Tribolium castaneum: one gene and its partners. The protein of the gene in region 1 interacts with the protein of each later gene in a pairwise test. Links are inferred from orthologs where the notes say so. Each region holds a gene or a part of one and is shown on either strand. Other genes may lie near its edges. The genes, in order: beta'COP, alphaCOP and betaCOP.

The links.
Region 2: the proteins of beta'COP (region 1) and alphaCOP interact in a two-hybrid assay, tested with the Homo sapiens proteins (2 studies listed by BioGRID, with this or other methods). The link is inferred for Tribolium castaneum from reciprocal best matches to the Homo sapiens genes COPB2 and COPA.
Region 3: the proteins of beta'COP (region 1) and betaCOP interact in a two-hybrid assay, tested with the Homo sapiens proteins (2 studies listed by BioGRID, with this or other methods). The link is inferred for Tribolium castaneum from reciprocal best matches to the Homo sapiens genes COPB2 and COPB1.

Annotation. Positions count from the first base shown.
Region 1 is NC_087398.1:12,745,748-12,750,171, forward strand, and holds the start of beta'COP (coatomer subunit beta'), read left to right. Parts: upstream 1-1,493; 5' UTR 1,494-1,650; coding exon 1,651-1,653; intron 1,654-1,705; coding exon 1,706-2,057; intron 2,058-4,424. Other genes in the region: histone deacetylase complex subunit SAP130, read right to left, coding at 396-634, 685-913. UniProt on the Homo sapiens protein: The coatomer is a cytosolic protein complex that binds to dilysine motifs and reversibly associates with Golgi non-clathrin-coated vesicles, which further mediate biosynthetic protein transport from the ER, via the Golgi up to the trans Golgi network.
Region 2 is NC_087403.1:711,350-715,001, reverse strand, and holds part of alphaCOP (coatomer subunit alpha), read left to right. Parts: intron 1-630; coding exon 631-778; intron 779-832; coding exon 833-1,100; intron 1,101-1,155; coding exon 1,156-2,124; intron 2,125-2,174; coding exon 2,175-2,385; intron 2,386-2,443; coding exon 2,444-3,652. UniProt on the Homo sapiens protein: The coatomer is a cytosolic protein complex that binds to dilysine motifs and reversibly associates with Golgi non-clathrin-coated vesicles, which further mediate biosynthetic protein transport from the ER, via the Golgi up to the trans Golgi network.
Region 3 is NC_087397.1:6,599,244-6,603,381, reverse strand, and holds the start of betaCOP (coatomer subunit beta), read right to left. Parts: upstream 2,859-4,138; 5' UTR 2,722-2,858; intron 2,607-2,721; 5' UTR 2,594-2,606; coding exon 2,503-2,593; intron 2,458-2,502; coding exon 1,229-2,457; intron 1-1,228. Other genes in the region: uncharacterized protein LOC664374, read right to left, coding at 3,827-4,138. UniProt on the Homo sapiens protein: The coatomer is a cytosolic protein complex that binds to dilysine motifs and reversibly associates with Golgi non-clathrin-coated vesicles, which further mediate biosynthetic protein transport from the ER, via the Golgi up to the trans Golgi network.

The DNA of each region.
Region 1 (4,424 bases):
AGATTAATTTCTTCTTTTAATGTTCACTTCCAAGAATATGAACGAGTAAAAAGGTAAGTAATTAACTGTGGTTATATTGTATTTTTATGTAGTAGAAGTGGACAAAAGTGTGGAACCAAGCGTTTTGTGTCTAAACTATGCACCATACGATAAAAGTGGTTACTACATCATTAACTGCTTTAAAAATGTGATCATTTTTCAATAACATTTTTTTCAAAATTCCTTTAGGTTTTTGAGTTTTTCAAAACAATAAATAAAAAGCTTCATTTTTTGCCAAAAAAATCGCCGTAGTAGGGAAGCATTTGATATAATAGCTCTAAAACTAAAAAAAACTTCGAAAAAATGTAAAAAGACGTCAAAAAGTTTTCACAATAAAAAATATAGTAATTATTCACCTGGCCGCCTGTTTGCGCCGTGACCACCATGGGGGCGCGCACCGACGCCACGTTGCTGCGAGGGGCCGCCAAATTCGCCACGACTGCGGGCCCCCGTGGGACATGGTAATTAGTACCACATGGTACCACCGGAGTTGTCGAAAGGGTGATTTGGGTGGGTCTTTGAATAGTGATGTTAGCAGCACTCGATTGCGGCTGACTCGTCGTCAAAATACTCGCAATTTGAGTCCTTGCAGCATCTAAAAAACAAACACAGTCACACAAATCACATGGCTTCGGACACACCAACCTGGCTTAAACACGGTGGGGACAATATTAGTTGTGATTATTGTTTGGGCGTTGGAAGAAGCCTGGCCCGAGTTTGGTGGCGTTCCCTGAGTCAGGACACGCACTCCACGCAAGCCTTGATTCGTCATCAACAAGGGGGCTTTCCCTTCCACTGTCCGAACGGTGGTTATTTGGGTCCTGGCCAAATCCAGAGGCAAGGACTTGTGGGACTCCTTGCCCTCGTCACTCATATTTCGCAGGTTTTAAATTTACCCATAAAAAACTTTATTTGTTACGTTAAACGCATCTGCATTAAAACTGAACAGAGGGTAATTAGGAGGTTTTGCAAAGTGTAAAAATGAAACCTTGGCAGCTTTTTGGCAATTTTTCGGAACAAAATAACATGGTTTTTTGGTTAAACTTAAGACTAAGGTTTGCACTTAAAAAATCTACAATAATAGACTACAACAACACCACAAAACGCAAATTCCGAACTGACGCCATTGCTCGCGCTGTCAAAGGAACGTCGCCCCATTGCCTCAAATACGCATTTGGGACAACAATCACCACATCAAATCTAAAATAACGTTAATTAACGTAAATTAAAATGCAGAATTTTGGCACAGCTAGACGTCGTTAGTACCAATAAAAATGCCCGTGTTTAAGTAGTTTTGTATTGTAATAAATTAAATTATAACTAATGAGATAGGGCACAATTTTGTCAAAAATAATTATTTAATTATTTTATAATTATTTCTATAGGTTAATAAACCATTGTTAAATAAAACAAATTGCTTTTTTTGTTGTAGTAATTTAAACTAATTTGTTAGACGGGTTTTCGCAGTTTTTGGACAAATCCACCTCGCCAAACGTCAACGTCAAGCCAAGTTGTCGGGCCACGTATTTTGGTTGTTTTTTAAATGGCAAGTCGTGTTTTCTATCAAACCCCTCAATAGAAAAGTAAATTGTTGATATCTACACCTTTACCATGGTAAGAGGGTTGCGTTTGGTGTCCCCGCTTTTGGTTAACCTAAATTTTATAGCCCCTCCGTCTGGACATCAAACGCAAACTTACGGCGCGTTCCGACCGTGTAAAATGCGTCGACTTGCACCCGACCGAGCCCTGGATGCTCTGCTCGCTATACAGCGGCAATATAAACGTCTGGAATCACGAAAATCAACAACTAGTCAAAACCTTTGAAGTTTGTGATTTACCAGTACGTGCCGCAAAATTCGTACCCCGCAAGAACTGGGTGATTGCCGGCTCGGACGACATGCAAATTCGTGTTTTTAACTATAATACACTGGATCGTGTACATGCTTTTGAGGCCCATTCGGATTATGTGCGGTGTATTGTGATCCACCCCACACAGCCTTACATCCTCACAGGGAGCGGTGAGTTTTTAGTAACACCAAAGCCAGTGGATATGCTCAAGCAGCGTTAGAGACCTTGACAGGTCACAAGTAAAGATTGGACACTCCAGAGAGGACTTATACCACATTACTTACGTGAAAGGCTCACCCTTAAAAAGGCTTATTAAGTGCATTTTTGTCCAAATTTTACGCTTAATTGTAAAGAAATAAAATTGTTAAAGGGTATGCTCAAAAGAGGTGTTTATTAAAGCTCACGTCATGTGTTAGATTTGTATAGAAAATGTATATAAACAGGCACTTTACTTTTGTAAGGCCCGACATTTTCTGAAATCACGCTGCAATTTTGAACATTCGTCAAAAGTCTCAAGACTGTCTCACCTTTGAGAAATTGGTAAAGAACAGAGTAATTTTGGTGTTAATCTGTAGTTTCACTCTGGTTATTGCTTTTTATATGAACAGATTCCATGGAATCTTCAAACTTATGCTTCAATCACGTAAATAATAAATCAACACCAAAAACATTAAAGAAAATCGTCCACATTATGAAGCATTTTGTGTGAGAATACTGGAAACTCATTCAAACAAGAATTGTTTCGGAAACATAAAGTGTTAGGTATTGACTTGAATGAGAAATTTCTGAGATACCAAATTTTTATTATGTATTTTAGCTGGATTTAAATAATAGTTCTTTGAAAATTCATTCTAAATTATTAGATTCCGCCCTAATGGGAAATAATTTAAGACTGCTCTGCTTACATTGATCTACGTTTCACAATATTTGAAGCATCTAAGTATGGAAATTATTAAACATACTCATGATATTGTTGAGACCATAAGTTTTTATAGCCACTTGCATCAACAATATTATTAAAAATTTAAATTATAAAGAACAATTTGGGTTGTATGATTTGTTAGGTAATATCGAAGTATAAACTGCACCCCAAATTTTGTACACCAGATTTACTCAAGATTTTCTCTGATTTAATAATGATTTTCCCTGGTTTCTTCAATTTTGTACATTGATTTTCTCTGCGGATTACCTCTAGTTCTCTTTGAAAATTATTTCTCATCAACACTAAGTGTTAAAGAGAAAATAAAATACTTTTGGCCATGTAGTGGACACTTGGGAGTAAAGAATGAATTGTTGATGGGAAATTTTTTTCTTAGAGTTCTAGATTAGATTTTATTAGATTTTTTTTTCAGTTTTCAAAATTATTTTCTGAATTAATAAAGCAGTTGCCGTATTTTAAAAGACTCTCTAAAAGATCTTAGACTATCATCATACAATCCTCTCAATCGCCACAAACCTGACAGATATTTGAACATTTTTCACCCATTTTCCAGAAAATCAACCAACAATTACGACTAATTCCTCTTCTAAATTTTGGCGTGAACTTCGCGAAAACATCTGAGAATTTTTGTCATGTTTTGATAAACTTAGTCATTGTCACTTCCCAGTAAACATTTTTTAGGTCATAAACATTACTGAAATCAATGTTTTGTTAAATGAAACATTTGACCTTTGAGCATAGTTTGTTAATGAAACGTCTGGGAAACAACAAATATTTTCTTCTTGATATGATTCACTAGAAACATTTCATTGAAATTTCTATGGTATATTTCACTCACTTTCAGGATGGTATAAGAAACATTTAAACAATATCATGTTGTAGAACTAAAATATATTATTTATATAAAAAACAGAAACAAATATAATTTCAACAAAACAAAATATATAAAAAATTCATTGTGACAAATATTTTTTCTTTATGAATTGTTGTCGTGCCTGCACATAATGATTTCGAATGAGGTGGTTGTATTTTGATAATTCCGCATGTTTTACATGTTATAGGCGATTATTGTGATATTGTTATATCACTTCGGTCTCATTATTATTGTTACGTGATTCCAAGTTTTTAAAAATAGCGATTATTGTAGTTATTGTAGACTAAAAAAAAGATTTATGTAAATCATCTAACAATACATGTTTCGTGTTTATTGGGTGAACAGTCAAAAACCATTTGATCTAAATATTGGACCAAATGCTTGATAAGCGGTTATGACGTCATAATTTCAGCCTTAAATCGAAATAACTTGAGTTAGAGAGCAGATACAGAGGAACGGTTTTCACTGTTGTAATAAGTGCTTTCAGTACTATTATTTATAATAAAGTTGTTTTTTAACTTGCCAATGTCTTTTTTGCTGAAAACAATGAATATTCAGTTTGATATACAAAGAACATAATTATTTTTCTTTTAACGGCACATCTTCTAAATTTAAATTCTTGATATTTTTAATTCATATTCTACATTCTACGATCAATTTTTGAAGGGCACTGTTAAGAGAAGGCTCGTTTAGTACCAAGAAATCATGCAGTTTTTGACGGCA
Region 2 (3,652 bases), on another chromosome or scaffold:
CCGATTTTTACAAAAACTTTTTTTTAGCTTGAGTCTAACCTTGTGTAAAAAACATTCGAGGTGTCACTGATATTGTCCAAAATAATTAATTTGTTTTAATTGAGTGTTACGTTTATGCCTACTTATGAATTTCCGTTACTCATGCGTTACATTGTTTCATAAAAATAATATTTCAAATTATTCATAAAGTTGTTAGGACAACTGATATTTCCTATCTAGCGATCAAACTTTATTCGTAACAGTTTTTTAGTTTTTAAAATCGTTGCTAATTTTATAGTAAAAGAAGGTGAGCAAGCGGTTATTATTCTTTATTGTTTTTCCGATAAGTGGCTCAAGTAACAGAATTTTTGGAAATCGATGAAGTACAGTATGAAGAAAGAGAAGAAAGTGACCTTTCCTTCTGTAGATCATAGGACAACACGAGATGGCCAACGCCCAGACCACATCTCTAATACCAGATTTATTTGGCAATTTACTATTTAGATAATGAAACAATAATGATCTACATTTTACATATCCTCTTGCTCCATAAATCATCACATTACTAAATTCGACCTTTTACGATTTACCCACAATTAAATATTTTGCAACGTTTAATAAATTGTTTTTTTTTTCTTTTTTCTAATTCAGCTTGCATAATGGATCCATTCAACTTTGGGATTACCGTATGTGTACTTTACTTGAAAAATTCGACGAACACGATGGACCTGTCCGAGGCATTTGTTTTCATAATCAGCAGCCATTGTTCGTCTCTGGTGGTGACGATTATAAAATCAAAGTATTCGTTTGATTTAATATCAAATTCCAATTCACAACTAACGATACTGTTTAGGTGTGGAATTACAAACAAAAACGATGCATTTTCACCCTTCTCGGTCACCTCGATTACATTCGTACTACAATGTTCCATCATGAGTACCCTTGGATTGTCTCGGCTTCCGACGATCAAACAATTCGCATATGGAATTGGCAAAGTCGGACTTGCATTTGCGTCCTCACCGGACACAATCACTACGTCATGTGTGCGCAATTCCACCCTTCTGAAGACCTACTTGTTTCCGCTTCTCTCGACTCGACTGTCCGCGTTTGGGACATTTCTGGTAGATTTTATCATGTGATAGCGTTCTATAACGCGTTCTATAATTTTGTTTTAAGGATTGCGGAAAAAGAATGTTGCTCCTGGACCCGGAGGTTTGGAGGACCATTTAAAAAATCCCGGTAGTACCGACTTGTTTGGGCAAGCTGATGCCGTTGTCAAACATGTCCTCGAAGGGCATGATCGCGGAGTAAATTGGGCATGTTTCCACCCTACTTTACCACTCATTGTTTCCGGGGCTGATGACCGCCAAATTAAATTATGGAGAATGAATGATTCCAAAGCTTGGGAGGTTGATACATGCCGTGGCCATTACAATAACGTTTCGTGCGTTTTATTCCATCCTCGTCAGGAACTTCTTCTGTCAAACAGTGAGGATAAAAGCATCCGGATTTGGGATATGGCCAAGCGCAACTATTTGCATACATTCCGAAGGGAACATGACCGGTTCTGGGTATTGACAGCTCATCCCAATTTAAATTTATTTGCGGCCGGTCATGATACAGGCATGATCATTTTCAAACTAGAGCGTGAAAGACCGGCATACACCGTACATAGAAACTTCCTCTACTACGTTAAAGACCGCCATTTACGCAAACTTGATTTCAATACGTCGAAAGACGTTCCTGTACTTCAGATTAGAGGTGGCGGCAAGACTCCTGTTTTTAGAATGTCATTCAACCCGGCCGAAAATGCCGTCTTGTTATCAATACGGTCTTCGAATTTGGATAACAGCACTTACGACTTGTATACGATCGCGAAAGAGTCGGACCGTGATGATCAAGTCCCGGAAGCCGAAAGCAAAAGATCATCAGGATTGACAGCGATTTGGGTCGCCCGAAATCGGTTTGCCGTCTTGGACAGGTCACATCAACTTGTCATCAAAAATTTGAAAAATGAGGTCCACAAAAAGGTGCAAACGCCACCGTGTGATGAGATTTTTTATGCTGGGACTGGAATGCTACTACTGAGAGATCCGGAACATCTGACTTTGTTTGATGTTCAAAGGAAACGGACTCAAGATCAAGGTATTAGTCATCTATCGTAACTGTCGTTTAGTCTATTGTGATTATTTCAGTTAAAATCAACAAATGCCGCTATGTTGTTTGGTCTCACGATATGAATTTCATCGCACTATTGGCTAAACATACAGTTACTATTTGTAACCGAAAGTTGGAAGTATTGTGCTCCCTGCACGAAAATACAAGAGTCAAGTCAGGGGCTTGGGATGATTCGGGTGTTTTTATTTACACCACTAGCAATCATATTAAATACACTTTGATCCATGGGTAATTTTTTTCTATAAAAAAATTTTAATGTAAAATTAAATTCTGCTGTTTTACTTAGGGACCATGGGATCATTCGTACTCTCGACTTGCCTATTTACATCACTCGAGTTAAAGGAAAGCATGTTTTTTGCTTGGACCGTGAATGCAAGCCTCGTGTCCTAACAATTGATCCAACAGAATACAAGTTTAAATTATCACTGATTCACCACCGCTACGACGAAGTCTTATTCATGGTCAAAAACTCGCGTTTGGTTGGTCAAGCAATAATTTCGTATTTGCAACAAAAGGGTTACCCTGAAGTGGCCTTGCACTTTGTCAAAGATGACAAAACTCGTTTCACTTTAGCTCTTGAATGCGGTAACATTGAGATAGCACTAGACGCGGCTAAAGCTTTAAACGATAAACTTTGCTGGGAGCAGTTGGCACAAACCGCTTTGTGGCACGGTAACCACCAAGTGGTTGAAATGTGCTATCAACGAACCAAGAGCTTTGAGAAATTGTCATTTCTTTATTTGATCACCGGAAATTTGGAAAAGTTGCGCAAAATGACGAAAATTGCTGAGATTCGCAAAGCGCGCTCTTCGCAGTATCATGGCGCTTTGTTACTTGGTGATGTTGAGGAAAGAATAAGAGTTTTGAAGCAGTCAAACCTGACGTCTTTAGCGTATTTAACTGCTGCAACTCACGGCTACGAGGAAGAAGCTGAAGAGTTAAAAATTTTGATCGGAAATGAGAAAAAAGTGCCCGATGTGGACCCCAATGCAAAATTCTTCATTCCTCCACCTCCAATTCAACAAGCTGAGAGTAATTGGCCGCTGTTGACAGTCAGTCGTAGCTTCTTCGAGACTAACGCAATGGTCCAAGCCAGTTCGAATATAAAAAGTTTGATGGTTGAACCTTCCACTGAGGCTTTGGATGAGGAGGTCGGTGGTTGGGGTGACGACGATGAGGAGATTGACGTGGACAACGAACGTAAGTCTGACGATGCGGCTCCAGCCGATGGTGAAGGTGGTTGGGATGTTGAAGACGCCGATTTGGAAATTCCTGATTTGGGGCCGTCGCAAACGCAACAGTCAGCTGAAAGTTTCGTTCATTTGCCTACTCAAGGGCCTAACCCGACACTTGCATGGACGAAAAATTCACAACTTGCGGCCGATCATGTCATGGCTGGATCATTTGAATCGGCTTGTCGGCTGCTTCATGACCAATTAGGAATTGTCAATTTTGAACCGTATGAAAGTATTTTCATGTCGTTGTATAGCGGATC
Region 3 (4,138 bases), on another chromosome or scaffold:
GAAACGCAAAATAGTTCAATTTTAAAGAGACGTTGCGTTAACATTCTAAGGGCAACGAAACTAAAATCTTTCTTCATTAAATAATTAAATTTATTAAAATTAATTTAATTAATTATATCTTGGCCCCAAACTGTCGCTGGGATAATTTTCACCATATCACAAAATTTTGGTCTCACAATTAAAATTTAAAAGTAAACCGTCAAAGATAAAAATATGGAAAAAGGTATAAGGAAGCAAAGTTTTCTCATTTTTTCGGCGTTTTTCACAAGAATATGAGCGTAAGGTGAAGTAAATAATACCGATTGTTTGCTGTCATTTTGTGTCGCAGTGGCCATAATTTTTATTAACAATGTTTTTCGGCATAGCAATGCTTTTTTGATTTAACCAGCTTCTTATACATGTTTGAATATGTCATATAATATGACTTTTCTTTTTTACTCGTAGTAATAAAACGCTCAGATACAGTGAAATTTAATAAAGCTTTATAACAATATTTAATAATTTTTTCAGAAACCTAACGTGATGAAGTACATAAGAGACACGTATTAAATATCAGAAAAAAATCATGTTTATTATAATAAGTAAATCAACCAAGTCGAAGTTCACCAATTGCTCTAAATTGGAATGAGTCCAAAAATCCAAAGTGGTTGTTTTCTCAAACAGGCCAATCACAATGCGTATTAATACTTACGTTAATTAATAATTTTTTTGCTTCTACTCATCGCATTGGAAATGACGTAAGACGAAAGCATCATCTTTCATAAAAAAAATCGACCGAAATGTGACCCAGATATTTTAATTAGATGACCTTTTCATGATTTTCATTCATAAAATATGGACGCACTAGTAATATTGTTCGTATTTTTTCTTTTTTAAAAAATTGTGACTTGATTTATGTCACGACAGAACTCAAATCAATGATTATACGGAAAAGAAAAATTTAAATTCGATTATTTCTTGCAGTTTATATAGAAATAAATGCGTAATCATTAATCAAGTGTGCGTCATTTTCGATATTTGACGCTCCAATGATTAAACACATTCAGATAATAATAAAACAAAATTAATAATCAAACGAAATGCATAGCAAAACGTTTGATTACCGACAATTGAGATCTTACAAATAATCTAATCAAATAACCATGAAATAACCCAAACAACCGTTCTTAATCGAGAGTTGACTTACGTCAAACGTCCAATTTTTCAAATTTTCAAAGAATTTTCTTACCTCAATGATGAGCGGCTGCAAATTATCGAATTTCTGAATCGCCTCTCTGACGAAGATCAGAACATCAACGGCTGCAAGCTCATTTGTATCAGATAAGAATTCGACCAAAACTGGAATAACAGTTGCTGCAACATCCGGAAATCGAATACAACAAGAATGCAAAGTCCGGACTAGCAACTGTCTATATTTTCCGGTATCTTCATGCTCAACATCGTGCGTTTTCGCAACTTCTTTCTTCAAAACCAAGACCATTTCTTCGATATTTCGCGACGAAACCAAATCCATCGCCAGATTAAGAGTCTTTTTGCGCACCTCCAAATCAGGACTCGACAAAACCCTCAAAATATCCATAACCAAGTCTTGAAGAACCCTTTCGTGAGTTGGGTGGTCTTTGAGAGCGATCAGACGGTCCAAAACAATGAGCTTGACATTGTTGTCGCTTTCCTTGATTATGAGCTCAATGTAGCAACTGGCGGCCGCTTTAATCGCCGTGGGGGCTGTGGAGAGCGTGACCAAAGTCCCCGCAGCCTCATACCGCACAGCGGGGCTGCTCGAATTGAGCAAATTGTAAATACAGCGGATGAACCTGGACCGTTCAGACGGATTGCTGTGGCAAACTTTGTAAATCAATTCGACAATAACCAACTGGAGGATGTCCCCGAAGGAGGTCACTTGGTCCAAGCACGAGGCCAAATAGCTCAAGGCGCGCTCCTGATCTGCGTGGAGCAGCATGAGGAAAGCGTTCCGCTTACACGACATGTCTTGCTCCCCGTCCAAGTAATTCGAAATCAACTCTGGAGCGTCCGGGATCAAAAATTCGAAATTTCGGTAAATTGTGAAAATCGCAAGGACGGCATTGCGCCGCACGTAGGAGTGTCTGTGCTCCAGACAGGCCCGGATCGAGGGCATCAGGGGCTCCAAAAGCTCGGGCTCTTTCAATTTGCACAAGAAGCGCAAAGTTGAGCCCCTGAGAAATTCGTTCGGGTGTTGCAAATCCTTGCGGTAGGCGTCGCAGACGAGGATCATTTCCTGGAGGAGTTTGCCGTCGGGGGAGGTCTTAGGGACGATCTCCCAGAAGATGAGGAGTAGTTTTTTGGCGGTGTGGTCTTGCAAAGGGAGGACGTAGCGGATTATGGTCATGAGGAGGCCCGGGGGCAGGCGCTCGCCGGCCAGGATCATGTGAATGGTCTTTTTCAAAGCTTCGACTTTTTGTTTGACGTCGCCCTTTTCTAGAAACGGGCGATAAGAGAGGATAGCGCTTGGGGGTTACCTACCTAGGTCTATCTTAAGTTGCATCTCATTGTAGGGTTCTGTGTCGGTGGGGACGTTTATGAGGGTGTAACAGGGCTGTTCGACTGCAGTCATTGTGGAGATTTACCTGGAAGTGGGAAGGGACACGAGTTAGGGTTAGGGCGTAGAAAGATACCAACAAAAGTGTTAACGTGAAAAGAAATGCGAAACTGTATTATCGTGTGAGAACAGGTTTTTCATACCACTTTAACTGAGAAAAAACACTTATTTAACACAAAACACGTAATGTTAATATTTTGGAATTAAATGTCAACGACGTGTCAACCTATTTTGACACTTGACAGAACCGGTAAGCAACCTATTGTACGCGCGTGTTATGTAACCAGTAATACAAATTCTTTATGGAGTTGTTGTTGTAAAACAATTTTACTTATCTTGATTTTGCATGCATTTTATTAATAGCGATTTTGGAGGATTATAACTTTGGATATATTAACGACAATATTTCTAACTATTATCGTCAATATTATTTAAAATAATAAATAATTAACCCGGCGCATCCACCATTTTACATTTAGTATTACCTATTATAATTAATTTATCGGTAAAAGTCACAAAACTGACCATTTTTGTGGCTATACAGGATGGTCCGCGAGTAATAAGGAGTTAAAAAAAACAGAAAAAATGTTTGAATTTTTTTATTATTACGTTTACAATTTGGCGCCTTTACGTACTTTTAGCTTTTGCCGCATTATTTTTTTATTTCTGTCAGTTTTATGCTCCGCTTTATGTTTATACGTCTATGTGTTTTTTTATTCTCTTATTTTTGTTTACGTGTTGTTTCACTTGCCTTTTGTACAATTTTTTCAATGAAACAAGTCACATCTGATCCGGGTTATAAATAGGTATAGGGATGTTATTCGAAGTGTGAGTGTGAGATTTTATGACTTTTACTCCTAACAACGTAATATACTATTGATTTATTTTAATCAGAAACACATAAATAAAGAATTTTGAGATTAAAATGGGTAATAAAAAACTTGAGAATAAAATAAAACACAATTTATTTTTGTATTTTTATTATAACACCTTAAACATCACAATGGAATGAATACTGGATAAAAATCCATAAAACATTAATACAGAATAAATACATATTTAAATATACATCTTTTGATTATGTTACGACGAAACATGAAATCACAGCAAATGTGGTCATTGGTTAATTGATAAAGCCGTACAACTTCGTCCCAAACTCGTGTTTTATTGTCTCCGTTTGCAAAACGAGCGTGTTTCCTCTAAGACTCTCATCTCAGTCTTAGTCAAATTATCCAAAACTGAATCATTTCAATAACTGGCATTATTCCCTCTCATCGAAATACTCATCCTCCTCTCAGCCCTGACACTCAGATCCTGCGACCCTCCCGTCCCAATGGGCGGATACCTCCACCTCCAGGGCCTCTGCTGCAGGTGCCCATCCGTGGAGGCCCTCTCCCTAAAGGGAACACTCTCTCCCGGACTGCTCGCACTGCTCTCCTTGCTCTCCTCCTCATCCTCCTCCTCCAACTCCACTTCGGTCCACCGCCGACTGAACATCCCCATCCTACAGCTGGGGATAAGTCCGCTGGGAGACCCCGCCGACGAACAAAGCAACTTAAC